Linked DNA regions of Schizosaccharomyces pombe. The protein of the gene in region 3 interacts with the protein of the main gene of each other region in a biochemical or structural test. Each region holds a gene or a part of one and is shown on either strand. Other genes may lie near its edges. The genes, in order: cds1, mrc1, rad3 and ccq1.

Region 1 (7,758 bases), on a different chromosome or scaffold from region 3:
ACATCAAGCATAGGAAGACAAAAGGTGACCTAACTACGTCAAACCATTTAACTTCTGGAAGATATCGAAGAATTTGGATAATATTTTCAACATGTAAACGTGAAAATGGACGGTCTAACATTCCCGGCGAAAGATCTAACCGTAGAAATATAGAGGTGTCAATTTTTAACTTCAAAATGTTTTCCGGGAAATAAGTGAAAAAATAAAGTAAAATCCTTGAAAGTCCTTCTTTCAGCAAATCTGATTCTGTAGAAGAATAAAGCTGTACAAAAGTTTGAGAATCGGGTAAACGTAGTAAAATTGCATCAGATATCTTTGACACAAGTTCAACTTTATTATCTTCAGACAATTCAGAGCGTTTGATTTCATCCAATACAGACTCTAAACGTTTAAACGACGCTAAGAGAGTGTTCACCGTTAAAAAACAGACAAATTTGTCATTACCGTTCAATGCTTTAAGGACTACAGGCTTTGAAAAGGAAGAAGGCAATATGTTCTCAATTATAATATTAGTAGGAGGAACTGTTCTTGTTTCTGCATCGTAAAAAGGAAAAGGAATGCCCATACCAAGTATTGCTTGGAGTAATGAAACGAAAGAAATCCATTGATAAGATAATACCGGTTCAGAGGTCAAACTATTTCTTTCTATAAATGATGCCGTAATATCTGGACAAGCCTTTAATATTTTAAGGACTAATTCCCGCTGTAAAGTACTTGTATGAACATGCAATGAAAAAACAAATGACTGTAAGACACGATTAAAAATAGTTTTGGATTGTCCATCCACCTTCTTCTGTAAATGCCATCCATTTGATACGAAGCAAAGCCCTTCACCAGGTACTGTACAAGCATCGACAAAAAATTTATGAACAAGATTGCATAAGGAAATGCCATCAATTTCATCATCTCTTGAATAAAGAGAAGCTAAGCATGACAATGACCATTCATTAAAATAAGATAATTTTGTTGCCCTAGAAACATCATGATCTAGTAACACATAAGTGAGCCAACATTGAAGTAGCTCCTTAAGAACCGAAGGCTCATCATTGTATATACCTTTAAACAAAGGAGTAGTTAGTTTCCTTGAATTTAATATTTCCAGTCGAATTTCTGGTGTACCAAGCCTAAGGAATGTAATGAAAAGAAGTAGTAAAGAGGACCGCTTTTTTGATATAGTGATTTTGAGACGCTTATTTCCTTTCCTAGAATTTTGAATTTGATTAGGTAGCTGGAGCATCTTTATAAAAATTTTACTGTTCCAGTCAATAGCTTGGAATACACGAACACATGCCAATCCATTATTCCAAGATGCCATTTTTTGAAGTAGAGAAAGCGTATGCAAAGGAGAATTGGATGTCAAATTCCGATATATCTGCTTCAAATGATGATCTAAAATTGCATCAATATAACGAAGGGCAGATTTATCGAACTCAACGGTCTTTAAAACTTTTTCCACATGAGCAGGATGCTCTAATAAAACCCTGCTCAATTCATCTATCTCTACATGGAGTTAGCATAATTGTAATGACTAAATTGACTCACCCTTATCCAAATCAATAGATCCAGATTCCATTTTGCCAGAAAATTGGCTACTGAACACTTACTGACAAGGTGTTCAAGTGATGGTGGATGCGAACATGTAAATTGTAAATACGTGAACAAATATATCAATCAAAAAATTAGCTAACCCAACGAAACTAACAAAAAAAATTTAATTATTCTTTGACATAAATATAAGTCACGCATTGTAGCAAAGATTGATTAATACAAGTTCAATACCCAAGTATACAGACAATGAAAGAAGGAACGCAATCGATTTCTTATTTAAAACCCAGAAATCTAAGCGAGAACCTCTACATTAATCATTATTGTAGTGTTCAGCTATTTGTATGCGCATGAAAAGATTTAATTTCTCATTTCAAATCATGATAAAACATATACTCGTGAATTTATATAGAAAGCTCGAGGCAAGATATTGAGATAAGTTATGAAAATGATCTAATTATAAGCAAAAACATTAAGACTATTGGCTTAAATAACAAACGAGGAAATTAAAGAATATGGAAAAAAGGATTATATATGTTTTCTGAATTCAGATACCTTTTTCTTCTGCGAGACAAAGGCAATAACTTGTAAAGTTATTTGCAATGGCGGTAGAATTAAACATAGTAAGGTAAAAAAATAGGAAGGTGTGATTAAAGGTAGGACATTATGTATGTTTTCATATAAGGTCTCAAGATCCGAATTATTTTCTATTACAATGTCCGCAAGCTGACACTTAAGTTCAAGAGGCATCTGCGCTTGTACTCGGTTTTCAGCATCCTCTGCAGTAAGCTCAGGATTACGTGCCAGCAAACGTTGCTTTTGAATGCTTTTATCGCAAGACACGCAGATCGTTTTCCAGCAAATAAATTGCATTTTAGCTTCAAAAAGCAAAGGAACGTCCAAAATAACTATGCTGTAACCCCGTACGTAACATCGAAGCAGTTCTTTGAGCATTTCCAAACGTACTGCTGGATGTATTATTGAATTCAAAAGTGACCTCTTTCCTGCGTCTTGAAATACTGCCTGGCCAAGCTTTGCTCGATTCAAAGTGCCATCTTCATGTAATACTTCATTACCGAACTCTTTCTGAATTTTTATTAAGCAAGGTGTATTCGGTTCTACCACCTTTCTAGCTAACACATCAGCATCGATAATTTTTATATGATATTTCTCTTGAAACTCGCGAGAAACTGTAGATTTCCCTTAACTAGGTTAACCACTATTAAACCAATTGTTATTTGATAACTTACCCGTGGCAATTGAGCCGGTTAAACCAAGAATCAGCATTATATTTCTTATTCCTTGCTTTGGTATAGAAGATTTTTGAATAATGGTAACAATTAAGGAGATCAGAAAACTATTTAATGCCGTAGAACAAAGTCTTCAATCGCGGAAGTCGAAGTTTGAAATACAAAGGAATGTTGACAGATGGCAACCTTCACGTATACCAAAAAAATATAAATAGGGATTACTACTACTTAACAATTAACATTTAATCCTCACTACGTATAACGTACAGTAAAGTAGGTGGATGAAACATTGTTTATATTACTCGTGCTTCGCGAAAAATCTGGTATTGCAACAGTTCGTTATTATTGTCTTATGATACATTTTATATCGTAAAATTTATAACGATGTTTAAAGCGAAGTCAGTAAATCATAAGCCCTCGTCTGACATGATAACTGCTTCTTTGGTCTTTTTACTTCTGTTAAAAGCTTGATCACTCATTTGCACGTTTATTTGTGTTTACTGATATACATGGTTAAAGAATTCATCCAGTTTTTCTGTTTTTAAGATACTATGGAAGAACCAGAAGAAGCTACGCAGGCTACTCAAGAGGCACCACTACATGTTAGTCAGAACATAGCCAAACAGGTGGTTAACAACGAAAATGTATTTATGAAATTGGTTATGACTCGCATGCTTGATGGTAAGACAGAAGTGATTCCTCTTACTACAGATGTGCACAATGGGTTTTGGAGATTTGGACGTCATAAATCTTGTGAAGTGGTTTTAAACGGACCTAGAGTTAGCAACTTTCATTTTGAAATCTATCAGGTATATAAAATAATAGTGGCCAGCTGAACTCGTTTAGTTTTAATTGAACTTCAATCTCTTTAAGACATAATTATCTAACGAAATGACCCAGGGGCATAGAAATGATTCCGATGAATCTGAGAATGTCGTTTTTTTACACGGTAAGTCTAAAGGATTAAAAAATCTTTTAAAGTCTTCTGCCTCTTCCACCTTTTCTAACAATTTCAGACCACTCTTCTAATGGAACATTTCTGAATTTTGTAAGCGAGAGCTTAATTCGTTTACAATTTACTGACGTCATTTAGGAACGGCTTGCCAAGAATAGTAGAACTATCTTGTCAAACGGAGATGAAATTCGAATTGGCCTAGGTGTGCCGAAAGATGAAATTTGTACGTCCTTTACACTGAAGGAGATTGTTGACGTAGAATTCACTTCAAGTTTGCTTACAGTCTTATAGCTTTTTTGTGCCAGGTACCAGTTAAACATTCACGAGATTCCCAGAAAAACATGATTAAATCCGAGAACAGTCATTACGAAATTATTCGTACACTTGGAAGTGGTACATTTGCAGTTGTCAAGCTAGCGGTAGAAGTGAATAGTGGCAAGTGGTATGCTATTAAAATTATCAACAAACGAAAAATCCTTTTGACAAGTTCGGAAAAGCGAGCTACTGAAATGTTTCAACGAGAAATTGATATATTAAAATCTTTGCACCATGTGAGTATCATTTTATGTTCACCTTTTTTTATACGAAAAACTCCTAGCTAACACTTATCTTTTAGCCAGGAGTTGTACAATGCCATGAAATTTTTGAAAATGATGACGAGTTATTTATTGTTATGGAATATGTTGAGGGTGGGGATCTTATGGATTTTTTAATTGCTAATGGCTCCATCGACGAACAAGACTGTAAACCTCTTCTCAAACAACTTTTAGAAACGCTTTTACATTTGCACAAGCAGGGTGTGACACATAGAGACATAAAACCCGAGGTATATCTTGTTTATTGATAAGAAAGTCTAACTTGTAGAACATTCTTATAACAAATGATTTCCATCTTAAAATATCTGATTTTGGCTTGGCTAAAGTTATTCATGGGACGGGAACCTTTTTAGAAACATTTTGCGGGACAATGGGTTATCTAGCACCGGAAGTTTTGAAGTCAAAAAACGTCAACTTGGACGGAGGTTATGATGATAAAGTTGATATATGGAGTTTGGGATGTGTTTTATATGTGATGTAAGTTTGTCGGCTTTAATCAATTAGCAATGAACCTTCATGCCTTAATTTTTTCCAATTACTAATTCACAGGCTTACTGCGTCTATTCCTTTTGCATCTTCGTCACAAGCAAAATGTATTGAGTTGATATCAAAAGGTGCATATCCGATAGAGCCTTTATTAGAAAACGAAATTTCAGAAGAGGGAATCGATTTAATCAACAGGATGCTTGAAATTAATCCAGAGAAAAGAATATCTGAAAGTGAAGCTCTCCAGCATCCTTGGTTTTACACTGTGAGCACACACGAACATCGTACTCCACCATCATCGTCTGAACATGAGGCCACCGAACAGCTCAATTCTTCGAGTTAGATTATTAATATTTAGTATTCTAAATGATAATTAATTTTTATACTTAGACCGTCAAATTTATAATATTGTAAATAGACAGTAAGTTTACACTAACCACTCTGTCCACGTACTACTATCCCTTTGGACGTCTCGACGCGATCTTTGCCATGTGTGCTTCAGTTACAGAATCGCTTGTATGTTAATGATTTATAAAAACTAGAGCATAAAATACTAAAACTTTCTTTTTTCTTTTTAGCCAAAGTTTCCCGAATTGAAAACTCGAGATTTACAAGGGCAACAGGGACCTATACGTTCCCTAGGCTGGAATCTTTCCGGCTCGAGACTTGCGAGTTCTTCATCTTCAGGATCAGTACTTGTTTGGAATTCAGATCGTTTGGATTTTAAATTTACTACTGAATTAGGGAACAGAGGATATGGTCTTGTCGAACAACTAGTATGGGATCCTACGCATTCTGATCGGTTAATGGCTGTGTATGCTGGGAAAATGATCCGTTTCTGGGACTTTAGAAGTATGCAATGAAGTCTTTGACTGTTTGTTAACTATTTATTCAGGCGCCAAACCTATCGCTGAAATAGAAAGCAACTATGAGAATATTTATGCAACCTGGAGTCCAAGTGGAAATTACTGCTGTGCTAGTAGTCGGGTACGAGAATATTTTAAGTTTTTATAACGCACGATTGCTAATTGAATGCTAGGATGATATGTTGTCTTTTATTGATGCTCGGGAAAGAAGAATAATGGAGACATTCCAACAACCTTGTGAGGTTTGTTTTTAAACCAATAATAACTTTGCTTACGATTAATAGACAAATGAATGCTGTTGGTCATTCAGTGAAGATTTGTTTTTCATGACTACAGGACTTGGCACGGTGCAAATTATGGAATGGCCTTCTCTAAAAAGAGTTTACGATATAAAGGCGCATAACTCAAATTGTTTCTGTATTGAATTCAGTCCGGATAACAGGCACCTTGCCATTGGTGGTGCAGATGCAATTACTAGTTTATGGGATCCACAAGAACTGATTTGTGAACGGTCGATTACTAGAATGGAGTATGTAGTTTCTTTTAAATTTTTTGGTCGCTAACTTCTAAAAAGTTATCCCATCCGTACATTAAGCTTTAGTTATGACAGTCGCTATTTAGCTAGTGGATCAGAGGACCGCTATGTGGATATCGTAAGTATTTCAGGATGTTTGAAACCGTTTCTTATTTTTATTCTTTTTAATAAACTAACTTGGAAGGCTGATACGAAAACTGGTGATCAAATTTGGAAAATTCCAACTAATGGACCTCTGAACAAGGTAGCTTGGCATCCAACAAAACATATTTTAGCATATGCTGTATCGGAGCCTAATTCTAGTGGTCTTAAGATATTTGGGCTATAAATGATTGAAAATTGGCAATCTTGTTCACGCTGATCAACAATAAAAAAACGGCTACTTAGTATTTACCCTATACTCTTAGCATGGATACCTTCAATATTCATTGAAGTTGTAGTTTTAGCTTATTTGGTACCAAAAGTTTTGAAGAATGGAAGAGAAAAATACTGTTTCTTTATCTAAGCATATTGAACGTCCAGTAGAAGTTGTTGAAAGTCATTCTACGTACATTTTAAGTGCACAAGGACTTTATCTTACAGAACGCGTTTTAAGAAGTTATTTTAAACAACCTGATCTAATTATTACTTGGAAGGATAGTATGAGAGCTTACCTGACATTTTCTTCGCCGCAGGAAGCTCAAAAGGCTTACTTAGATTCACTTCGTTGGGGCAGTCAACTGAATGCTATCATTAAACCATTCTACGGTTCGCACGATGAGGTACTTCGTTTATGTAAAAGGAAAAGAATTATTCCACTACAAAATTTCTTGACTTCAGGTTAAACAGATAAATTAGAACACAGCTTAAACTTACCGGAAAAATTAATCGCAATCCAACAACTTTTCGGACAGCCGAGTGTTTTATAAAATTTCGTTTGGCTAAAAACCTAATTTTAATCTTTTATTAACCCAACTGGTTTAAAATTGCAACTGTTAGTTGGCTTAACAATCTCGATTGATTTGAATGGCACGGGCTATTTCTTCTATTGCCTTTGTATAAATATCACTTTACTATTTTTATACAAATGGAAAATTTTTATCTGTTCTGTTGGTTGCTCGCGTTTTTGAAAATGCTATCTATTCAGTGTGTTTTAAAAGAGCTGTCAAACAAACGAAATTTCGAATGATCTGTAAGATGCTTAGATGATTATATTCTTGATATTATTTATTCATGGCTATCTAATGAGAATAAATCCCTTGGTTACTACTTTGTTATTTATATGGAAGATTTGGCTGCTGGATATTACGTTAGATATAATATTCATGACTTAAAAAAATAAAAAATAAAAACAATAGCTACTTTGGGTTCGAATACGTAAACTTAAAAAGCTGATACAATCACTAGAAAATAATAACCATAATAAATGCTCTTCTGTAAAATTTTCCTTTTAAAAGAAAAAACTATAGATATCTTTCATGAAAATGCTTGCCTTTACTTTTCATTAGCCGAACCATCTGTTACATCTATTCAAACATGCCCTTTG
Region 2 (9,182 bases), on a different chromosome or scaffold from region 3:
TTCATTCTAAGAAGCAAGATATCCTAAAATTGTACTCTGATTTGGGAATTAATGATGATTTAGTAGTTCCCTTCTGTGAAGCTGCTTCCTCTCTTGATGCAATTGATGACCTTAATGATTACATACATTTCACTTATTCTGAACAAATCCGTGATCGTGCCTTACTGATGGGTACTGGTCTTCGTCGTCCACAAGGTTCGAAGTATTCTTTTTTTGAAAAATTTAGAAAATCATCACTTTACAATCTCGTCAAAGAATTTGGTATGAGTGCTAAAGACTTTTCGTTCAACGTAGCACAGGGTGCTCGTCTCCGTTTTGTGGAAGACAACACCCTTTCGCCTGAAGAACTAAGTCGTACTTATGTGACAAATGAGCTGTCATCACCTGAGCAGGTACTTCAAAAGGCACGTAGAGTTTTAGCAGAGGAAATTATTCATGATCCTCAATTTCGAAAGTCTTTCCGTGACAAATTGTACAATGCTGGAGTCGTTACTGTTTTGGCCACTCAAAAAGGTGTCCGTAAAATAGGTAGTGAGCATCCTTATTATGAATTTAAGTATTTAAAACGGAAACCCTTGGGCTCGTTTGAGTTAGAGCCAATCCTATTTTTAAAAATGTTAAAGGCCGAAGAAGAGGGCTTAATTCAACTATCGATTGAATTTGAAGATCCTGATGATGTTTTTAAAGGTTTACTCGAGCTTTTTGTTTCAGATAATTTTTCTGAGAACGCAATGCAATGGAATGCTCAGAGAGAATTGGTATTAAAAGAAGTATTTAAAAGGTTTTCTGCATTAGCACCCGATGCCATACGTGAAACTTTACGTTCTCGATACCTGGACGAACTTGGAATGCGCTGCCGAAATCAATTGTTTTCAAGACTTGATCAAGCTCCCTATGAGCCCTCAACTAAAAATTTCGATCGTGGCACTATTCCATCAGTCCTTGCCGTCTCCAATGGAAAAGGTGAATCGTCTGATGCCATTATCTGCGTATTTGTTGATGATGTGGGTGAGCCTACTGATTCATTAAAACTTGCCGATCTACGAGATCTTGCTAATCAAGCAATGTTTGCTGAATTTGTCGAAAAAGTTAAGCCAGATGTTATAGGTGTTTCGGGAATGAGCGTTTCTGCTCATAAAATTCGTCAACACGTTCAAGATTCGTTAACGTCTCACGAACCAGTAGATCTAATCATGGTGAATGATGAGGTCGCTCGTCTATATCAGAATTCTACTCGTGCTGTTGATGAATTTCCTACTCTACCAACTATTTCTTGCTACTGTGTTGCATTGGCTCGGTATGTACAAAACCCTCTGTTTGAGTACGCTGCTATGGGTCGTGATTTGATGTCTTTATCATTTGATCCTTGGCAACATTTGCTTCCCCCTGATGTTCTCTGGAAATACTTGGAAACTGCGTTAGTCGATATATCTTCTTTGGTGGGTATTGACATTAACGAAGCAGTGACTAACAAATATGAAGCTAATATACTTCCCTACATAGCGGGATTAGGTCCTCGCAAAGCAGATTATGTTTTAAAGAAAATCGCTGCTACCGGTGGACGTATTGATAATCGTAGTGATTTAATTTCAAAACAAATAATGTCGAGAAAAGTTTTCATTAATTGCTCTTCTTTCTTCATTATTCCTAATGATGAGTATCCCAATATGGATATTTTAGATTCTACAAGGATACATAATGAAGACTACGAGTTAGCTAGAAAAATGGCAAGTGATGCACTAGAACTTGACGAGGAAGATATTGAAGAGCTTGAAACCAATCGAGGGGTGGTTTACCACCTTTTAGAGGAAAACGAAACAGGAAAACTTGATGAGCTTGTTCTTGAAGAGTATGCTGATCAACTGGAACGTGAATTTCACCAGAAGAAGCGAAACACTCTTGAAAAGATCCGTCTGGAGTTGAAGGATCCTTATGGAGAGCAAAGGAATGTATTCCATAAGCTGACACCTTCGGAAATTTTCCTAATGTTAACCGGAGAAAATCCAGAAGAGTTGCAAGCAGATGCAATTGTACCCGTGAATGTTAGGCGAGTTACTAATAGGTTCGTTGCCGTCAAACTCGATTGTGGAATTGATGGAAATATTAAAGCCGATGAAGTGAGTGACGATTTTATACCCCCTCCCCAATTGCTTCAGGTTGGTCAAACAGTCGAAGGTGTAATTATTTCTTTGGACGAGGCTAATTTTATGGTTGATCTTTCACTTAGAAATAGTGTTTTACAATCGGCAAATTCTAAAAGACAAACTAGCTCTCATCGTACATCTTATTGGGATACTGAGGCTGAAAAGCGGGATACTGAGAGGATGCAGGCCGAAACACAGGCTGAACAACGAGTTGCTCGCGTAATTAAGCACCCGTTATTTAAGGATTTAAATGCCTCTCAAGCCGAAGCATATCTGTCGAAAATGCAAGTTGGCGATCTAGTTATACGTCCATCTTCTAAGGGCTCTGACCATATTGTCGTTACATGGAAAGTCGCTGAAGGCTCCTACCAACATATCGATGTGTTAGAATTGGAAAAAGAAAATGAGTTTACAATTGGTCAGAAATTACTAGTAAAGGGAAGATTTGAAAAAATGACTTATCAATACAGTGATCTCGATGAGCTGATTGTTTTACATATTAAAGCCATTGCTAAAAAAATAGATGAAATGTGTATACATGATAAATTTCGAAAGGGTACACAAGCGGAAACCGAAAAATGGCTTGAGAGTTATTCTGAGGCAAATCCTAAACGATCCTGTTATGCATTTTGCTTTGATCATCAACATCCTGGATACTTTATCTTATGTTTCAAAGCTAGTGTTAATAGTCCTGTAACGGCATGGCCGGTGAAGGTTATTCCAAATGCGTTTTTTTTACAGGGCAACGTTTATGGTGATATGACTGCACTTTGCAATGGTTTCAAATTGCTGTATGCTGCTCGAACTAAAAATTTTAGACGGATGTGAGCATTGATGGTTTAAACGCTTTACTCTTATCTGCAACTACGTGACATTTGTTTTACATAATTAAAGAAAACCACCCTTGGTTTATTTCATTTTCACCGAATTTTTGGCACATTAATATTGAAATATCCCTTTTTATACAGTTGATATCTATATGTTTTTTTTTTTACAATAAATTCTCTTAATACCCTGTATTTTTATGTATATATGTTGTAGTTTTCTTGTTAATAGAGCGCAGCTTGGAAAGTCGCGACGCGTCAAGACGCGTCGCGTTTGTTGATGAATTCTAAGGAGGACTAAGAGATGTATCGCGGCAAAGCAACTACCATTACTCGTTCAATAAGAGCTTTGTGGTGCTTAAATCTATGGCATCTTTAGACGAGAACGCTGATGAGTTGCACAGAATGGATTCTTCTGATGAGGCTTCCATCAATGATGATCAAGAGGATATTTTAGATACGCCTCGCACTAGGGTGAGGAAAATGTTGGCGAGTGTTGATATGCAATTGTCTAGCAATGCTGTATCTGAAGCATCTTTGGATAAAGAGAGTACCGTTGGCAATTTAGAGAATCAGAAAAATCGCTCGTATAGCAGCGAAATCTATCTTCATTCTGATACGAATTTTTTATCTAATTTTGACTCTGCTTATGAACGTGTTAGGCGATTATTAAATCAACAAGGTGGTAAGTCTTCTCTCCAAAAAAAGGAGGTTGAACAAATTGAAACTCAAGAGGGAGGTGATAATGCGAAGGGAAGTCCATCCTCTGAAAATAAGGATTCTGATAGAAATTCACGTTTACAACAATTAATTGAAAAGAAACGAAATGCCTTGAAGAAGGAACAGGAAGATCTGATCCAAAACTCTGCTACAAGCCATAGCAAATCAGATAATTTAGATTCTGAAAGTGCAGATGATAGCGATTTGGCAGACGAATCAGAACTTTCAAAGAAGTATACTTCCGACAGAAAAATTCGAAATGCATCTAAAAAGGCTTTACTGGAACTACATCGTAATACTGCCCGCTTAACTAGAGAAACAGCTTTAAAACCAGAAGTGGTTGTTAAAAAGAAAGTGACTCTTCGTGAATTTTTTCAAAAAATAGGATTCAAAAACGATAACCAGCTTGAAAATAAAGCAATTTCGGAAGAGGAAGCTAACTCAACTGAGCCTCCAAATGTTGAGAAGGAAGAGCCAAAACCTAGCGTTGACCGGTCCACGGGAATAGTGAACAGTGAAGACATAAAAGAACTTTCGGTTGAGGATGACTCTTTAGAGTTGAAGGAAATCACTCCTGAAGCATTGGATATTGGTCAAACAAGCTTGTTTACGACTTTAAATCAAACTCAAGTTAAGAAAGAGGATAATAAAAAATTTTTATTAAAGGAAATTAATGCAAAATTGAATGAGGATGACATTGATTCTGAGCTGGAAATTGAAGTTAAGCCCAAGACTACAGCTCTTGATAATATTGAGAAATCAAAGTTATCTGAAGAGAATGAGCATGGAATTAAGGGTAAATTAAAGCAACTTGCTGAAATCAAGCTCAGCAAAGATGGAAAGCCGTTCGAAAATGAATTTAACATTAAGTCTTTTAATCGAAACCTTGTGAAACGTGCAGCTGTTATGGCAAAATTGCAACGCAACCAACTTGAGGAGGAATTGAAAGCAAAGGGAATTTATAAACCGACAATTCAAGGTGAGAAAGAAGAGGAAGAAGATCCGCTTGAACGCGCTAGAAATGATGCTGAGAAAATACGACAACTGGAGAAAGCATCTGGAAATGCAAGTGATGAAGGTGAACTCAACGACGAGGAGGAGGTTATATCATCTTCTAATACTCCATCTACTAAAGCCAAAACCACCAACAAGGTCATAATATCCGACGTGATTATTGAGGCAACACAGGCAGAACCCAAAAGGCGACAAAAAAACAGCCGTGTTGTTTTTGATGAAGAGGATCTAACTGGAGATTCGCATGGTTCTTCGAATATGAAAATTTCTGAATCTGATGATGAAAGTAATGGAGATATGATTCGAGATTCCTTCGATAGGTTAAGTAGTGAGAGCATCAAAGATTCTCAGAAAACAGAAGAATTACACGATTCTTTTGGCATTAATGACGAAGTTGATCAATCTACATCTCTTTATGTTCAAAACAGTCAACCAAGCGCTTCTCAACTCACAATCGTCGACGCTACATACAGTCAACCTCCTCCTCGTTGGGAGTCTTCTAGCAGAGACGACAAAACCAACACCTCATCTACACAGCCGAGTCAAGTAGATAGTCTAGTTCCTACTCAATTAGATTCCACTATTCCTACTCAAATTGATTCTGTTCAACGTAACAAGGATCAAGATGATGAAGAAATATTGGAAGAAAGACGAGAGTCAAGAAGGGACTCCAAAACATTTTTGAGTCGAACTATGCTTTACAATAAGGATACTGGTAAGGCTGATTCTGCATGGGCTTCAGACCTTATTGAGGAGCAAGCTATTGAATCTGATGATGAGTATGCTGGAATTGGTGGCCTTTCCGATGATGGGTTGTCTGACAGCGATGCTGAATTAGAAGTTCAAAATATGATTGATGACGAGACTACTATACAAAAAGGCGAGGTAGCTTCAATGGCACAATTCGCTAAAGATCAAGAAATGGATCGTGATGAAAAGTTAGTAAAACAGCTAATGAAAGACGTTACTACTGGTGCTCTACGAAAGAGGAATAGGAATGGATTTGCAGCTTTGGACGATAGTGACGATGAAGATTACAGTAATTTGCGGCGCGAAAAACTCAAGGAGTTGCGGCGTCAAAAATTATTGGAAGATGGAAACCTTAATGTCTTAGAAGGTGATAAAAGGAAAGCATTTTTAGCTACTGTTGAAGACAGCCTTGTCAGCAGCAAAGACAACCTTACTTGGCTTGATGCTACAGTGGAAGACTCTGGTGTAGGTTCTTCAGATTTAGGTGACGAATACCTTTATTCTGAACAATCATTAAATCATGAAGAAGAAGAGCAAATGGAAGAGGAATTAAGCGAAATATTCTCTAGCGGTGGTCCCAATGTCGTTGATAGAGTATATCTCAAAAAATCTTCAACAAGACATACCTCTGATAACAACAGCTTAGAGGAAGTTTTACCAATCTTTCCTGGAGTAAGGAAACTAGTGAGTAATTCACAGTCCGAAAAAATTGGTGACCTATCAAACGATAACTCGATGGGAGCAAAGTCTTATAAAACACCTATAATTTCTTCTACCCAACGTCCACAAGGACGGAAATTTAGAGGTTTAATGAACCAGTCTTCTAAAGCAGATATTTCCAGAACTGTAGATGCAGGTAGCATCAAAGTTGTCCCCAATTCACAATCCGCCAATCCACCTCGGCTGTTAGCTTCTTTGAATAATTACTCGGACTTTGACTAAGTGGCTAAGAAAGGGGATTTGACGAGCTGGACTTGTCAAACTTGTTTTTTTTGAATGAGGTATTGATAATTTACATAACTAAATTACATAATATAATTTAATGATTCATTAGAAACTTTTGAGATTTTTTAAACTACTTTTTGGTGTATCGTATGTTAACTTTTAAATCTAAAGCAGCTCTTTATTGACGGTTTGAAAAGAAAACTAACTTTCTACAGTAAACCAAAGAAAGGTTACTCAAAAAGGCTAAAGTTGAATGAATTCATCTTTCTTCACCAGCAAACCCGTTGTTTACAATATTTACGTATTAAAATTCGCTATCATCAATATCGCTCTGTAAAGTTACGCGGAAGAAAAATGTAGGGTAGGGTATTAAGAACAGTCACGGCACAATACTCTTTGACAATGAATGTCTATGAAACAAACCATCCACAAAATGGTAAGAATTTTAAAATGATTAAAGAGATAAGTTGATTAACAAAGAAATAGGCTCCCAAGAAGAAATGGTCTAAAGGAAAAGTGAAGGACAAGGCTCAACACGCCACTGTCTTTGACAAGAGCATCATCGACCGTATCAACAAGGAGGTTCCTGCCTTCAAGTTCATCTCGGTTTCAGTCCTTGTTGACCGCATGAAGATCAACGGATCTCTTGCTCGTATTGCCATTCGCGACTTGGCTGAACGCGGTGTCATCCAAAAAGTGGACCAACACTCTAAGCAAGCTATCTACAGTAAGTTTAATATTTAAGTTGTATTATTGCATATACACTAACACAATTTTTAGCACGTGTACCTGCTGCTACTGCTTAAGTTATGGTGTTGCCATTAATCAATAAATCCATTTTTTCATTTTGAAACTTTATCAATGTAGCCAATTTGCTTAGTGTTAACATTTGGTAGAGGTAATTTATTAGCAGTTGTAGATGTAGTATTCTCTGAAAAAGTAGTGCAGTAGTTTTGCTTCAGGAATTGCTAAATTAGTCTCAGTTAGAAATATCTGATGCGTCGGGTACTTTGATAGATGGCTAGTTGAAGATTTCTTCGACTAGCTTAGTGAAGTAGCGTAGCCTTCGTTATGCTTTGGCCTATTGAATTTCATGGATTTGAACTACAAACAGAACACGCTTCCTGAACAATAGACTTTGCTTGCTGTTTAAAAAGGTTTTAAAGAAATGAATAATTTAGTTAAAATTGCTACTCATAGTGGTACTTTTCATGCAGATGAGGGTGAGTACTTATTTCTAAATTAGCTGTTGCAAGATGCTTGGATTTAGTTGCTGGGGGGAAAAAAAATACAGAATCAAAAGAGGTTGGATAAGTCTGATTAATTGGGACCTTAAGCGGATTAAAAGTTAGGGGCTTGTGCGGTTTTATATTGATAGCTCTTGTTTATTATTCAGGAGATTAATCATTCAATTACTCATTTTACTATGCAATTTTTTTGATTTTTGTTTGCATAATGCACAATCAATCTGTCCTGGATTTTGTACCTATGACTTTGTCCTTGTTGCTCCCTACAATAGCTTTCTTTCAAATCTTGCTCTATTATACTAATTATTAAAATATTTAGCCTTGGCTGTTTACATGCTTCGCCGTTTAGATAGATTCTCCGGTGCCCAAATTGTGCGCAGCCGTGATCCTCAAGTTTTAGACTCATGCGACATTATTGTAGATGTTGGAGGAAAGTACGATGGTATTAAATATTTTGACCATCATCAACGTGAATTCAATGATACTTTTTCACCCAAATACAGCACTCGTCTTTCTAGTGCCGGTTTGATCTACAAACATTTTGGTCGTGAAGTTATTCACGCTGTCCTTCCACAGTTGAAAATAAACGAGCAGGATCTTGAAACACTTTATGAAAAAGTTTATCAATCATTCGTTGAAGGTCTTGATGCTAATGACAATGGAATTTCTGCTTATCCGGCTGGCCTAAAGCCTAGCTTCAAAGCCGCTATGAGTCTACCTGAGATGGTTTCAAGTTTCCTTCCTGCATGGAATTCGGAAAAGCAAGATGACCAAACTTACCTTGAATGTTTTCAAAAGGCCTCGGATTTAATGGGTACATGGTTTGTTCGATCTGTAGAACATTATGCTTTATCATGGTTACCAGCTAAAACTCTCGCTCGAGAAGCAATTTTGAAGGCTAAAGATTCTCCTATTTTGATCGTAGATCAGTTTTTTCCCTGGAAGGGTCATTTATTTGATATTGAAAAAGAACTTGGCATTGAGAACCAATTTAAATACGCTATCTACTCTGATGGGAAAGCTTGGAGAGTTCAGGCTGTTTCTATTGATCCCACTTCTTTTACTTGTCGCTTACCACTACCAGAACCATGGAGAGGAATTCGTGATGAAAAGCTTTCTGAGTTAACTGGCATTCCAGGTTGCATCTTTGTTCATGCTTCCGGTTTCATTGGTGGTAATCAAACTTTTGAGGGTGCTCTGGAAATGGCTAGGAAAGCTTTAGATTTTCCACAAAATTAAAAAGCATGAACATCAGTATATGTTATGTTTGATAGCAGCTGATTGTTTTAAATCTAGTATATATTTTATCATTAGTCTGTACAAATCAATATACATAATGCAATGGGGCCATGTGCGTTGTCAATATCTTATTCGCCTAGTCAATTGGAAACTTTTGAATGGGTTTTGTAGCATTCATAATATATAAGGAGCATATCAACTTTAGTCTCTCCAGTTAGCGATGGCGGTACGGTTGGATTACCTTGATGACATTTAAAATCTCTTGAGGTATGATTTTACGTTGGGTTTCTTCGTCTCCA
Region 3 (8,591 bases):
TTGAACCTCGCCAAAAATTTCCTATAGATACGAATTCTTCAAAATGCGACATGTCTGCAAGTACTGAGATGCATTTGAAAGATACTGAAAAATTTGCTAATTTCAAACTAAAAGAAAACATTTTAAATCATTCTTCTATTTACGAACGTGATGTTTCTTACCTGCCTGCATTAAACAAAGGTGGACGTGAAAATTATTTAAACAATCGCGTCTCCTCTTATAGGCTTGTTAAACCTATTTTAAATTCCTATGGAAATCATGTATTAAACCGTATACAACATGATATTCTGGAGAATCACTTCTGTTGTCTAAAAAATGTCAAAGACTTTGTATGTGGTGCAAATACAATCTCCATGCAGTGGAATCTGCAAAAGAATATGGAATTTATCAGCTCTGTTTTTTCCTTAATAAAAAATGAAGTAAATGACACATCAGCTAATAGTGTCATTCTAAGGACCGATGCGCTTTCAAATGTTGCTACCACGAGGTTGAAAAGAAAATTAACTAGCGCTATTATTGACTGCTCGATTCCTCGTCGGAGGTTGCGCCACTATAGTAATCCAGAAATAGCTGAATTTAAGAATTTTAGATTATCTACGGATATTTCCCACAGTAATGTTAGGAATTCGAAAAAGCTATGTTCCAATGGATCTATGAATTGTATGAGGCAAGGCAAGGCAGTTTTTCCTCGAAAGATCCCATATCAAGAGCATGACTGGGAACAATGGGAAAAAATTGCTCAATCCTCGATGTTTAAGAATCGTTCAATTGCTTCACGTCAATCATTGGAAACTTCTGATGTTACTTTGGACATTAATATGTCTTCAAGACATTCAAACGGAACTTCCTCAATGCTTTTCAAAGACTTTACAAAACATAATAATTGGGAGGCGTCAACTTATCCGTCTGCACCTAAGAATACTCGTACTTATCCAACAGCTGAAGTTGAAAAAACTCGGCATGATTCCTCGCAATCAGCACGTCAATTGAAAGCAAGAAGTACGGCTACGACGATTTCTATTTCCTTGTCGACGGTGTCAGACGTATTCACCTTACCTCGCAATAATCTCAAAAGCAAAACAAATACGAAAAAATGCAGAGATAATTTGAATCTATCAGGTTTATCTTCTTCAACTTGTAATGCAAATTCTGTGAACAAATTGATGAAACATGTCATGATGGGAAACGAAATGATGAAGTACCCGAGAAGTGAGAGTTTCAAAATGTTTAAAAAGAGTCATTGGCGCTATTTTTGGATTAACCCGCATTGTGAAATGCTGTGCTGGTCTAAAACAAATCCATTTATTGAAAAAGGAAGGAAAAATCAAGTCAAGTCTGTGAAAATTAAGGGAATGACTATTATAAAAGCCCCAGATGCCTTAAAGAACGCCAATTTACATAATGAAGTTATTGTGATGCAGACAACTGATAAGCCCATCGTCTTAAAAGCGAAAAGCAAGAAAATTCACAATATCTGGGTTCAAGCTATCAAACAAATAAATCATAAGGCTATCTTTGATACTAAGCCCGGCATTTAAGCATGTTTCAGTCATTGCTTATAAGTTTTAAAGTAAACTGTTTCAATATTCCCTAACAACTTTTAAAGTTATACCAATTGTTTTTATTAAGCGGCATCAAATAGAAAGATATTAAACCACTGTAAACAACTAAGAATCAAATGTCTTAATCAGTTTTGTAAATGAGGTTTATACGATCAAGCTTTATTGCAATTCGACATGCACTAATGAGGATGATATACTTTCCTATTTTGTCGAAAAAATTGCTCTTTCTATACAATTCATTTTTAATCAATCAATTTATCATACGAGACATTTAAATAGCAAACAAAAGACGACTAACGTTTAAAGGTAACATCGATAATGTTAGTTTTATCAAAACAAATTATCCCGTATAAGCAAAAGAAGATTCAGACTTAACCTTGACGGAGTTTTATGTGCAAAGAATTAAACATTGCTATTACTGGTAAACATAACAAATCTGGGCGACTTTCAATTACTGAATGAATAATAAGCAACCTGTTAAATGATTTTAGTGCCCAGATGCACTTTCCGTGTATTACCCCAAGAACTTTTAGCGAAAGTTAAAAAGAGCACAATATATCTGGCTAGTTATTTTACTGCATCGTTACATCATGTTAAAACTATTAGAGCTTACCATACAAAAACTGAAAACGTCACATAATTAACTCGGTACTACTAATTAGGTAAACCGTGCTTTTGCTCATTCCCTGTGGTGTGTCTCTTCGATTCAATTTTGTAGATTGTTTTCATTTTCCTTATTCCTTTCTTTTTTTAAGAGGGGTTTGACAGATACACAGCATTTCCAATTCTAAAAATTACTCATTTTAACAATTGCCATTGCTTTTATTCAAAGGATCAGCTAATTAAGTTCCTTTTTCAATAAGGGAGAAGGATATATTGGATTCTTGATTCCCAACGGTTAAAGAAATCATCGTCAGCATTTTTATTTTGTAAGAAATGACTGTTTTTGTTGTTTTTGGAGGGCATGGAAAGGTGGCCTTGCTTTTTACTAAAATTGCTACAGAAGCTGGCCATATAGTTTACAATGTTGTACGTGATTATGTTCAGAATGAAGACATTGAAAAAGTGCATGGCAGAACTTCTGTCTGTTCACTTGAGAAGGCGACGCCTAATGATATTGCTCAGTTTTTAGCTGAAATACACCCTGATGTTGTTATATTTGCAGCCGGTGCAGGAGGTAAAGGCGGCCCTGAACGAACAAGAGCCGTCGATTATGAAGGTGCTATAAAAGTTTATGATGCTATGAGGATAGCTGGTATTCGACGCTTAATTATGATATCTGCGATAGATAATCGTGATATGAGCCAACCTCCTCCTCCTTACTATACGGCTGCTGATATAGAGCTAAGTGAGAAAATACATCAGTCAATTGGAACTTATTACCATTACAAGTACCTAGCGGATCAGGAATTAGTGCGACGCTCTAGTGATATTGATTGGACGATTTTACGTCCTTCTGGTATGACAGACGAGAAGGGTTCTGGAAAAGTTGCATTGGGTAAGATATCCATAAATTGTATGATGTCTCGTGAAAACGTCGCGCGTACTGTACTACTGTTCGCTCTTGATAATCAGTCCATCCATTTGGTGGTTGACATGACGGATGGAAATGTGCCAATATATAAAGCCATTGCTGGATTCGTCGTAAAAGGAGAATCATCCTATACTTATTCAGTATAATGTAATGACATTTTCGGATCCTTCGCGTATTATTGTAGTCCACGCATCTTTTACTCCTTTCTTAAAATCTTCTGAAAAAAGAACGAAAATTTTTCAATGACCTATGAAGCGTACGCAAATTAATAAATATTTAAGTGAGGGATACTTTAGTTATACCCTTTATAGTTGAAATAAATGGAAGATCATATCAGGTAGTGTAAACATTGTGTTATCGTTTATTAACTTTGGCATAAGCAGCTTAGTTATAACATACGGCTAGTAAATCTAATTTCTGACCTAGAGATTACTACACTCTTTGAAAACAAAATATATTAGTTTAAAATGTTAAAAGTAAATGCATTTTATTGAAGTTAACCAAAACGTGAACAAGCAACTTTAAATAAAATAATAGCCGTACATCAAGCACAAACAATTCGAACTGGTGCTAACATCTAATAAAGAAAATACAGAAATATTAAGCATAATCTAGTTCAATTGTCATTTGTTGCCTCATTATGGAATTCCAAACTCGCCGAATTTATACAATGGCGTTCGTCAGTAGGATTAGAATAACCTTCTCCTTTAAAAATATGGCCTAAATGACCACCACAGTTGGCACAAACTGCTTCTACACGATGCATTCCATAAGAGTTGTCTTCAATGCGTTTCACCTTTCCAGGTAAATTATCGAAAAACGCAGGCCATCCACAATGGCTTTCAAACTTTGTGCTAGCTTTATAAAGAAGCTCTTTACATGCAGCGCAAACAAAAACGCCCTGTTTAGGGAACTGATGAGTGAATCGTCCTGCACCTGGGTGCTCAGTACCCTTTTGTCTCATAATTCGATACTTCTCAGGACCTAGCTCCTTTTTCCATTCATCTTCGCTTTTTTCCAATGGAAATCCCATCTTTGTATTATTTTTGACGTTTTGGACAGGGTAGGAGACGTTATATGCACGTTTCAAAAGATTCGTAAACTTCGTATTTCCACAGATTGAAAAGTGTGTAGTAATCACTTTTTTCATGAAAACACAAGACGATATGTACCACAACTGGCACTACAAAAATTTTCAAGTAAGTAAACGACTTTTTGACCACTATTTATGTGAATAGGTAGGTACCAAGTAAAAACTGCTTAGTAAGTATAAAACACAGAAGAATCCGCGATCTAGTGAACCAATGCCCTGCGTATGACGCTCCACTGACGCTATAGTCAATGAGAACTAGGATGTGCGATTATAACTTATCTTTTCAATATTTTCTTATTATTTATTTAAGAAATAATTGAATTAAAACTCATTTCTTCTTTTATTAGCCGTAAAATAGCTTATTTTCTCTCCTACTACCTTTCAACAATAACTTTTTTTTTTGTTTATTGACCATTATAATCACATCAAAAGTCAAAAAATTCAATCATTATCAGAAACATCCAGCCTAATATTACTTAAAAGTTAGTTTCCTCTGAAAATTCAGTATCACAAAAGCTCGTTAATTAGCATCGCTCGATACTTAGTGCACCATGCATCTTCCTTTACCTCGTGAGTGGAAATCGATTTGATAATCGATTGCCACTTTTCGCATAATTCTATTGAGATATTTTATTACTTACAATCGTCTTTTATAAATGCTCAAGACTTTGAACGCGCGTGTTGCGTTTTAAAAAGGCCTTTTTTTGAATTGAATCAATGGTTTGATATAGTATGAGCCAACACGCAAAAAGGAAAGCTGGGTCACTCGATCTTTCACCCAGAGGCTTAGATGACAGACAGGCTTTCGGACAGCTTTTGAAAGAAGTATTAGCATTAGACAAAGAACATGAGTTAGGTAGAAGTAATTCTTTACCATCTATGACCTCCGAGCTTGTTGAAGTTTTAATTGAAGTTGGTCTTCTAGCTTTTAAACATGATGATTCAAAATCTGAATTTATCTCTCCTAAGATGCTAAAAGAAGCCCATCTCTCTCTACAAGCGTTAATGCTAATCTTAAAAAGGTCTCCGACAGTTTTGCGGGAGATTAAATCATCTGTTACTCTTTTGGATTGGATTTTACCCAGGACTATATCATTGTTTGCTGATATTCGTTTTATTAAGTTATTTGACTCATTAAAAGAGTTTCATAAGCTAATTTATCAGCTAATCAGTGAAAAGTCATTCCTATGGGACTTATATGCTTCGTTTATGCGTTATTGGAAATATTATATTACAAACGTTTCTTCTATAGTTCTCCAAATCACTAATGCTACATTCCCTTACAAGATGCCCTCACCCAATTCTCAACCATTGCAGAGTATCACCCCAAATTATCCAACCCATCGAGAGGACAAATTTGATTTACTTATCATTAATATAGAGGAGGCTTGTACATTTTTCTTTGAAAGTGCCCATTTTTTTGCACAATGCTCATATTTAAAGAAATCCAATTTTCCTAGTCCACCTCTCTTTACAGCGTGGACTTGGATCAAGCCATGTTTTTTTAATTTTGTTATTTTATTAAAACGAATCAGCATCGGAGACTCACAGCTCTTTCTACATTTGCATTCACGTATAGTCCAAACTTTATGCTGTTTTTCCTTGAATTTTATATATCATGGCCTTCCCATTTGTGAAAAATCTAAACATATTTTAATGTCCTCCATCAACTTAACATTGGGATCATTGAAGAAAACTTATACAGTTGCTAATACTGCTATATCTCTTTTTTTTCTCTCTTTATTTGTTTTACCCAAAACTGTAGCTGGTCTATTCTATCCTTTTGGGGTTTCCTTACTTTCTGACTTCAAGGTATTAGAGCAACTTGAACCAGATTCTGATCTCAAAAAGGCAATAATATTATTTAAGTGCAGATACCAAAGTTCAGAAATAGATCAAACAACTCTCCGTGCTTTTGGCGAAATTTGTACTGGTAAACTTGAAAACACGTTGTTTTCTAACTCTGAATTAAACCTTTTTCTTTTACATTATCTTTCCTTGGACAATGACTTGTCAAATATTCTTAAAGTGGATTTCCAGAATGGTCATAACATATGTACATTTGCAAAATGGTGTATAAACAACAACTTAGATGAACCGTCTAATTTAAAGCACTTTCGTGAAATGTTAGATTATTATAGCTCTCATAATGTTACAATAAGTGAGGACGACCTGAAGAACTTCTCTTTAGTTTTGTGTACTCATGTTGCAAAGGTGAATGAGAAAACAAATAGTATTTTCCGCACATATGAAGTACATGGTTGTGAAGTTTGTAACTCATTTTGTTTACTATTTGATGAGCGGTCGCTCTTTAAAATTCCTTATCACGAATTGTTTTGTGCATTGCTAAAAAATCCCGACATAATTTCCTCTTCTGTTAAACAATCATTGTTGCTTGATGGCTTTTTTCGGTGGAGCCAGCATTGCTCAAACTTTAATAAAGAATCAATGTTAAGTTTAAGAGAATTTATTATGAAAGCATTAGCCAGTACTTCAAGATGTTTACGTGTTGTTGCTGCAAAAGTTTTGCCCATTTTCATTAAGGGACCTAATAATCTTGATATAGTTGAATTTCACAAGGAAAGTAAAGCCTTGATTTTTAATACGTTGAAAATATTGGCGGTGGAAAATACAGCTATTTTAGAAACGGTCATTCTTTCCTGGATCTCCTTATCTAGAGTGGTAGAAGAAGAAGAATTACATTTTGTACTATTGGAAGTTATATCTTCTGTGATAAACAGCGGAATATTTTATCAAGGCATTGGTCTCAGCGCTCTGCAACAAATTGCCTCGACGCGTCATATATCCGTTTGGCAATTACTTTCTCCATATTGGCCAACAGTGTCCGTTGCGATTGTCCAAGGTATGGGTAAAAAACCGAACATAGCCAGTTTATTTGCTCAGCTTATGAATATTTCCGAGGGCGATTTTCTTATTCGAACACAGGCGTACACTTTACCATTCCTTGTACTTACTAAAAACAAAGCGTTAATAGTACGTATAGCTGAACTTTCACAAAGTGATGTTGCTACTTTGTGCCTTACCAATATGCATAAAATCCTTGCTTCGCTACTTACTACGGATCATCCTAATTTGGAAGAGAGTGTGATGCTTCTTCTTTCACTGGCCACTTCTGATTTTGAAAAAGTTGATTTAACGTCTTTGTTACGCTCTGATCCTATTTCTATTACTGTGGAGTTGTTACAGCTTTATCAGAATGATGTTCCTCATGAAAAAATTGAAAATGCTTTAAGAAAGGTAGCAATGATTGTCTCTCAAGTGGTTAATGACGAAGACTTGAGCAATAAGGAATTACTTTATGATTTTTTTAATAATCACATTTTGGGTATCTTAGCAGAATTTTCTAATATCCTTAACGACCTGAAAGGAAAGACTTCAATTAATGAAAAGATTAAGACAATTGTCGGCATTGAAAAAATGTTATCTTTATGTGGAGGTGCAGTCAAACTTGGATTACCACAGATACTTTCTAATTTACAAAGTGCTTTTCAAAATGAGCACTTAAGGTTTTATGCAATCAAAGCTTGGTTCAGTTTGATATTAGCAACCAAGGAGCCCGAGTATAGTTCAATTGCTGGTTTAAGTCTTGTAATTTTACCTCCTTTATTCCCTTATTTAGAACCACAAGAAGCAGAGCTAGTAATTCAAATATTTGATTTTATTTCTTCTGACACACACAAGTGCCTACAAGGATTAAAGTGGGCTATCCCCACCAGTCTGGATTCAGCGTGCTTTAGCCTTAAGGCTAAAGAAATATTCTGTTCGCTTCAAAATGAAGATTTTTACTCTGAGCTTCAAAGTATAATTAAGTGTTTAACTAACGAAAATGAGCCAGTTTGTTATTTAGGTTTACAAAAATTAGAACTTTTTTTTCAAGCCAAGGTGGACGAGTTACATGACACACTAAATTTGGACATATCCAACGAAGTTCTGGACCAATTACTAAGATGCCTTTTAGATTGTTGTGTAAAATATGCTTCAACAAATATGCAAATATCATATCTTGCTGCAAAAAATCTTGGTGAATTGGGTGCGATAGATCCCAGCCGCGCCAAGGCTCAACATATTATTAAAGAAACAGTTGTTCTTGATAACTTTGAAAACGGAGAAGAAAGTTTGAAGTTTATTCTAGATTTTATGCAATCGCAGTTAATTCCAGCTTTCCTTGTTACTACTGATACTAAAGCACAAGGTTTTCTTGCCTATGCTCTGCAAGAGTTTCTAAAGCTTGGTGGATTCAAGTCCGCAGTGATTAATAAAAAAAAGGGACTAACTGTGGTAACAGAACATTGGATGTCTTTGCCTGATTTATCCAAACGTGTGCTTATACCATTTTTAACTTCCAAGTATCATTTAACACCAATCCCCAAAATTGACATTC
Region 4 (6,683 bases), on a different chromosome or scaffold from region 3:
CTATAGAATCTTCCACTTAAGTTCATCTCTGCATTCTGTTCAAATATAGCTTCCAGTTGCCGTTAGTTCTAATTTATGCTTTCTACGTACAAGCCTTTTGGCCTATTTTTAGGTATCCTTCATTGTTCAAACTAGTAATTAGATTAATAAAGCACAAATTTGAAACTTTCAAGAAGCTTTTTCATGTGATTGCATAGAATGAGAAAACCCAAAACTTAATCCTAATCGGCTAAAAAACTATGTTCTCAATACACTACCATTATTAATATACAATAAATCCAATTCTCATTTTACGAAGCAAGAGCAATTAACATAAGCTAACCGAGCTCTTAAGAAATCTGCAAATAATTGTCGAGAGCAATCATACAAGGATGCTTCACGTTTACGGTTTAGCAAACTTTGCTAGCTCTTCAGTAGAAATAGAAACAAATTTTACACAATTATAAAAGCAAACGTTAAGTAATTAGGGAAAGAAAAAGGAAAACGAGAAGGACGATGAATTTTTAATGCATATATTTTTATAAAACAGTAAATAAGGTATTAGAGTAAAATATGCCATATGTGAGTACATTATAATAACGAGGGAAGTAAACTAACGTCTTCGAGGAGGCTTTTGCATATTTTGAAATTGATTGAGCATACCGCTGAAATCCATACCACCTGCCCCTCCGGGACCTCCGCCTCCCATCAACATGTTAGCCATTTTTGAAATATCACCAAAGTTCATAGAACCTGGATTGAGGCCAGGCATTCCTCCCCCCATACCCATGGCTTGCATTCTTTTCTGCATAGCTGCAAGTTGACGAGGGTCTTTTTTGAGAGCTGCGGCTGGATTTCCACCAAGTTTACCCAAAATTCCATCTTTTCCTCCTATCTTTTTCGCCATTTGCGCAAATACTCGGACCTGAGAAATGGTTTCTTCTACCTCTAAAACGCTTGTACCACTACCCCTTGCAACACGTAAAACACGAGAGGGTTGTTCAACAAATAGAAGACCATCCGAATCTAACTCTTGTTCGGTCATTGAATCAACGATGTAGAGCATACGCTTCATACGCAAAGATCCCTCCTCATCATTCATACCGTTCATCATATTACTCATGCCTGGAATCATACTAGCCATTTTACTAAGTGGTCCCAATTTCATAATATTTCCGAGTTGATCTCGAAAGTCTCGGACCGTAAACTTTCCTTGCTCAAGATTTTTAACCATATTCTTTTTATCAAAATCTAAAGACTGAACGTGTTCCATCAGACCTTCAAGATCACCGAGTCCGAGTAGCTTTGAGATAAAAGAACGTGGAGAAAAGCGCTCCAAATCATTAATATGTTCACCGGTACCAATGAACACGATGGGTGTCTTAGTCGCAGCCACGGCGGATAAAGCACCACCACCTTTGGCATGTCCGTCCAATTTTGTGATTATTACAGCGCCAAAGTCAGCAGTCTCTTTAAACGCTTTGCTTTGAGATTCGGCAGCTTGACCAATGCTAGCATCTAAAATCATAATTGTTTGATCTGGGCGAATAGCGTCTGAAATTTCCACCATCTCAGCAAACAACTCCTGCTCCTGCTGATGCCTACCAGATGTATCAACGATGATAACGTCAAATCTATCGTTTTTGAACTTATCAACACCTTCCTTGGCAATAACGACTGGGTCAGTCTCGGTGTAACTACCAAAGTAAGGAACACGTGCTTTGATAGCATTCTGCTTTAATTGATCAAAAGCACCAGCACGGAAAGTATCGGCAGCAACCAAACACGATTTCAAACCTCTCCTTTGGTAGTGCAGAGCAAGCTTTGAGCATGTTGTCGTTTTACCACTGCCTTGTAAACCTACCATCATGATCACTGAAGGTCTCCCTTTTTTAGGAGTAAAAGCATCAACTTTAGGGTCAACCAAACTGCAAAGTTCATCAAAGACAGCCTTCTGGACGATTCGCTTCCCATTTATACCCTGAGGCAAAGTTGATACATTGATTTTTTTCTTAATATTTGAACGTAATTCTTGAACCAATCGCACATTAACATCTGTTTCCAAAAGTGCCGTACATATATTTTTCAGCAGAGTATCGACAAGCTAAATAAAATTATTAGTAAAGGTTCGTATTAAAACGATAGATATCCTAATCAAAACAGAACATTGGGAAAACAAACTAGAGGTCATTAAAAAAATCTTCAGCTGCCTAAAAGTTGCTTGGTAAGTAAACCCTTTTAGTAACTTGAAACCAAAATCTAACATTGCATTATTAAAAAGGGTTTTAAATTTTCATGTCAAGGTAACGTCGATGTAAACGAAGATAATCCCAATATGCAATCAAGATATATATATATAAGAGATTGGATAAACCAGCTACGCAACTAGAAAAGCATATCTGTGGTAGATGATTTTTCTTATCGACAAATTTCGTAAAGCATGAAACGATGTTCATATACAGCGTGTAAAACATGGCAAATGCAAAATTTTTGAAGAAATCAAGCAAAGATGTATTAAATATTTTTATAAATGACATGGCTCACTCTCCGTATGAGAACAAATTTTCGATAGAATAAAACATACCTCTTCATTCACTGAAGTGGCCTTAGAAAAGTCCCCTAACGCAGAGTTCAAACGACGCCCTAAATCTGCAAAAACCATTTTGTCAGATTAAAAACTTCCAACCAGGCAATTTGAAGTTCGTCAAATGTGGTTGGTAGAGGATGAAGTCGTTAAGGACATGCAGTGTCTTCAAGCGAAAAGTCAATAGACAATTGAGGCAATATGATAAATGCCTAAAGATGAAGTAAAGAAGAGTTTGATATTATCTTTTTAAAAAATATTTTCACTGAGTTTAATACCGAGTTATTTCGCCTGCAAGCTTTTTATTGTTTTCAGTATAGGTGATATATCGACAGGATAGCGCAGCACAGCATTCCTATATAATACCTTGTTTGTATAATATTTTAGAATTAATCTATAGCAAAAGTTCAGTAGGTATAATCTTAAAAAATAAAATACTTATTAAGATTATACTCATGTGTAAAAGTGTTTGACTAGGTCCTGACAATTATTGATGCTTCTCTTTCTCACATTTGTAATAGAAACACGAATCGTAAATTCCGTGGTGGCTAACTTTGTCCCACAATCTTTTGATTCATACTTGCTGTAGTTTGTGTTTTAAGACGCTAATAGAAAAAGATCTAAAAGATTGATATTTGAAACTTTTTATATATTTTTCAGGCGTATGTTCTTATTCACCTTAAACTTTTTTGGAATTTTTCGTGCGTTAATCCAGCAATTAGTCTTAAGATCCAGTTTTTCCAAACTTCACGAAGGAAAGCACTTCCAAGTCCTTATAAGAGCCAGAATGAATTGCAATTAGCTGTTTTTTCAATATAAGACTAAAGATAAAGAATCGTTAACCCCTTAACACAAAATTTGAAAAAGAAATAACATTTACTACGCGTTATGGGTGAATAGTTATATTTGTTTACATAATAGACTTAAATAGAGAGGTGACGCGTTACTTTATTAAAATAAAGATTTGTTATATGAAAAAAAGTAATTAGAGCTCTTTTAAATGCTGTAAACATTTTCCGCTACACAGTGTATTTCGTAAAAATATGTACAAATTTAAAGGCGAACACGGAATTCTGGGAACAACATTTGGGTGGTTATTTGTAAAAACGATAATAAAAGACTCTTTTTAGACCATCTAATTCCTCTAAACGTGCGAAAATTATTTCTTTTCGGACGCTAAATTGGTCTCGTGTTGCAATATTTAAACATTCAATTTCTTGTTGAATTTTAACGTGGATGGCAGTATGAGCGAAATTAACGACTTTACGAATTCAATTATTATCAATGAAAGTGATACGAAATACGAGGTTTACTCTGAGGTGAATTCCAGTAATAGATGGATTGCCAAAGAGGATTGCCCTAGCCCGTTGGAAGATGTATGGCTTCTAAAATTAGCAGGCCATAAGAGAAAATTGGAAGAGCCTCTAAGTTGCATGCGTAATGAAGAACCTGCATCCAAACAAAGAGAGATAGAAAAATTTTTACGGACTGATTTGGATCACTCTGAAAATGACTTTTTAACTCAAGAGGTCGATGAATTCCCTTCTACCCAGCAGTTATTTCCTATTCCTTTGCAAAATGACACTGCCTTTGATTCTTCGGAAGAATCTATTACTAAATCTTCTAAATCCTCGTTCAGCGTGCTAGATATTGGCCTTCCAATGTCTGCGCTTCAAAGGAAAATGATGCATCGGTTGGTTCAATACTTTGCCTTTTGTATTGACCATTTTTGTACTGGTCCTAGCGATTCAAGAATCCAAGAAAAAATACGTCTTTTTATTCAATCTGCTCATAACATTGCAAAGCATCCTAGTCTGTATGATACTGAAGTTCGAAATCCCTCCGCTGCTGAATCCACTAATTCCCACGTTTCTTTAGATGCTTCTAATTTCTCTTCATATGCCGAAAATTCTTCAAAATTTCTTTTTTTGCAAGAATTATTCAAAAATCTTTCCCCCTCTTATTCTAAGACATTTTTTTTATTTATCTCCAACCAATTTCTTGCAAACACACTTACTCAATGGCTAAAATCTCAAAACATTGATGCTGAGTTATGGGCTGAAGAGGATGCAAAGACTAGCCAACATCCAGCAATTTGGATTTGTGTGTCCAAAAAGGCTCCCTCCGCTTCTCATTTTCTTCAATCTTGCCCAGATTTGAGTGCAACCATTTTTTATGATATCGAAGCATACATGAGTGTCACTAGTTCCTTGCCCTCTATTCAAAGCCTTGTCCTTAGGCTCATTCACTTGGGATCTATAGAACATGCCATAAAATGTTTTCAATCATCTTACAATGCCTCATTTTTAGTGAACATTGTGGGTGTGGTTGCCACTCTTAGTTCTTCTTCCGAGGAAAATTCAGAAGCTTCAAATTTGAGCACTTTGTTTGAGAAATCTGGGAACTTTGAGGAAATCCTAGGCTCAGAATCTCACTCTTCTATTACAGAAAAAACTCGAGATATTGCTAAAAATGTTGCGACCTGGTTAAAAAATGGAGAAAACTTCTCTTCTTGGCCACTACCTCCTCTAATGGATTTAGCAAGCTTATCGGTTGCAGAACCAAGGGATTCTCAGCCTTCTGTTTCTCAGGTGAACGATACTTTTGTCAAATCATCTGATAGTACATTTCCTTCGTCGCAAAGCATGCAATCACCTTCCAAACTCCACTCTTTAACAAGTAATGCCACCGATTTACTGTCATCAAGCTCACTAAAGAAAAACTTTTTTTCTCAACAGGAAGCTGATGAGGTAGAACTTTCCAATAATTATGATCTCCAAGGTGCAGCTGTCCAATACCTGCAGCGTCGTTTAAGAATGGTAGAAGATGAATTACACGAAGCCATTAATTCCAAAAACGTACAACAAAGTCGCTCAGAGGAGTTGGAGCAGCAAATTTCTAAGCTGACGGATAATTTACAAGAATACAGAAACACTGTTCGAGAGCTCAAGCTGGATTTGGAGAAATCGAAGAAAAAGAATGAAGACCTTTCAAAGCTAGAAGTTGAGAAGGTTGAAGAAATCGCAAACCTTAAAAAAGAGCTTACCCACTTAGCTAAGCAACAAGAATTTGGCTTTAAATATGTACAAGAATTTTCGAATGAAGATCTACAAGGCAAATTAATTGAAGCCAACGAAAAAAATTACAAACTTACTCAACTGTTAAAAACACAGAAAGAAGACGCTGATTTCATTACTAATCAATATCAAAATGCATCTACTTTTGCTGCTGAGCAAAGCAAAGAGGTTGCGAAACTTCAAGCTGAATGTAAGCGCTTACAAGCTATAAATTCTAAAGTTATGGAAGAGGTAAAAGTTTATAATGATTCAAGGGTAGAAGCATTACTCGCTAAGGTCTCTTCTCTGGAGGAGACCTTAAAAATTTTAGAGCAGAAGTCTCTTCCCAAATTTACTCCACATAATCAATCACCAAGGATTATTGATTCTAACTAAATCATTAACGATCAAGAACTTCAGTGGAATCAACTATAAAAAGTTCGTTTAGTCATACGGTTATTTGATTAAATTATGTCGTAATCAGCTTTTAATGAAACAATTTTAATTGTATTAATTTTTCAACAGTTGCAAAAATATATTGGTTTTCTTCATATATTCATCAAGAAGTTAGACATTTCGTTACATACTAGATTCAATGATCTATGTCATTAATTTTGAATTTGTTTTTGAAAGATTTTAATTGTATCAAATTCGAATATGCATCCTCAAAAGATGCAATATCAACATTGATGAAATAATTTTTTATGCTTCATATCATTTTGTTATGCTCGCAATATCGAACCTGTATAAAACTTCATGCACCTTATGCTCAACAGGTAAGGACCAAACAACCAGCAAGGATTGTAAAGCCTTTAAATACTAATTTTTCATCTGAATAGCACGGTCGAGTATATTCGGCTTCTTACTATCTTTCTTAGCACGATCCAAAGCCAATGTACCGTTTAGTTTTTCAACAACATCATATGTAATGTCTTCATCATTCAAATAGACAACTCTATTGTTATCAAAATCCACCACACAGAATTTAATAACGCTGAAAATGCTTTCTGGATACTGTGTGCGAGCTGCAAGACGTAGTTTTGTATCGATGAATTTTTCCTGGG

The links.
Region 1: of the proteins of rad3 (region 3) and cds1, one has a biochemical effect on the other in vitro, tested with the Schizosaccharomyces pombe proteins (3 studies listed by BioGRID).
Region 2: of the proteins of rad3 (region 3) and mrc1, one has a biochemical effect on the other in vitro, tested with the Schizosaccharomyces pombe proteins (2 studies listed by BioGRID).
Region 4: of the proteins of rad3 (region 3) and ccq1, one has a biochemical effect on the other in vitro, tested with the Schizosaccharomyces pombe proteins (one study listed by BioGRID).

The regions. Positions count from the first base shown.
Region 1 is NC_003421.2:736,819-744,576, reverse strand, and holds cds1 (replication checkpoint kinase cds1), read left to right. Parts: upstream 1-3,238; 5' UTR 3,239-3,346; coding exon 3,347-3,604; exon of another isoform or gene 3,605-3,695; coding exon 3,696-3,744; exon of another isoform or gene 3,745-3,811; coding exon 3,812-3,843; exon of another isoform or gene 3,844-3,888; coding exon 3,889-3,973; exon of another isoform or gene 3,974-4,041; coding exon 4,042-4,301; intron 4,302-4,366; coding exon 4,367-4,576; intron 4,577-4,614; coding exon 4,615-4,823; exon of another isoform or gene 4,824-4,895; coding exon 4,896-5,175; 3' UTR 5,176-5,216; downstream 5,217-7,758. Other genes in the region: ribosome biogenesis protein Urb1, read right to left, coding at 1-1,500, 1,543-1,573; cab5 (dephospho-CoA kinase), read right to left, coding at 2,074-2,747, 2,796-2,832; THO complex subunit Tho3, read left to right, coding at 5,322-5,348, 5,411-5,684, 5,728-5,819, 5,872-5,940, 5,983-6,227, 6,273-6,351, 6,418-6,561; protein Thc1, read left to right, coding at 6,707-7,057. UniProt on the Schizosaccharomyces pombe protein: Has a role in the DNA replication-monitoring S/G2 checkpoint system. It is responsible for blocking mitosis in the S phase.
Region 2 is NC_003424.3:4,206,496-4,215,677, reverse strand, and holds mrc1 (claspin), read left to right. Parts: upstream 1-3,289; 5' UTR 3,290-3,334; coding exon 3,335-6,394; 3' UTR 6,395-6,475; downstream 6,476-9,182. Other genes in the region: transcription elongation factor Spt6, read left to right, coding at 1-2,972; rps2502 (40S ribosomal protein eS25), read left to right, coding at 6,831-6,833, 6,884-7,124, 7,178-7,203; SPOM_SPAC694.04C (uncharacterized protein), read left to right, coding at 7,566-7,620, 7,964-8,883; SPOM_SPAC694.03 (nicotinamide-nucleotide adenylyltransferase), read right to left, coding at 9,098-9,182. UniProt on the Schizosaccharomyces pombe protein: Component of the replisome and is required for rad3-dependent activation of the checkpoint kinase cds1 in response to replication fork arrest. Phosphorylation allows it to mediate the activation of cds1.
Region 3 is NC_003423.3:899,444-908,034, forward strand, and holds the start of rad3 (ATR checkpoint kinase Rad3), read left to right. Parts: upstream 1-4,740; 5' UTR 4,741-4,921; coding exon 4,922-8,591. Other genes in the region: dynein-anchoring factor Num1, read left to right, coding at 1-1,538; SPOM_SPBC216.03 (uncharacterized protein), read left to right, coding at 2,499-3,242; peptide-methionine (R)-S-oxide reductase Mxr2, read right to left, coding at 3,713-4,129. UniProt on the Schizosaccharomyces pombe protein: Serine/threonine kinase which activates checkpoint signaling upon genotoxic stresses. Involved in G2 arrest following DNA damage where it phosphorylates chk1.
Region 4 is NC_003421.2:1,482,496-1,489,178, forward strand, and holds ccq1 (shelterin complex HEAT repeat subunit Ccq1), read left to right. Parts: upstream 1-3,644; 5' UTR 3,645-3,807; coding exon 3,808-6,015; 3' UTR 6,016-6,183; downstream 6,184-6,683. Other genes in the region: signal recognition particle subunit Srp54, read right to left, coding at 593-2,083, 2,564-2,641; ubiquitin hydrolase Ubp5, read right to left, coding at 6,439-6,683. UniProt on the Schizosaccharomyces pombe protein: Component of the meiotic bouquet that facilitates meiotic nuclear reorganization of the telomeres to the centrosome. Links telomeres to the meiotic centrosome component pcp1. Essential for the formation of normal telomere clusters during meiotic prophase.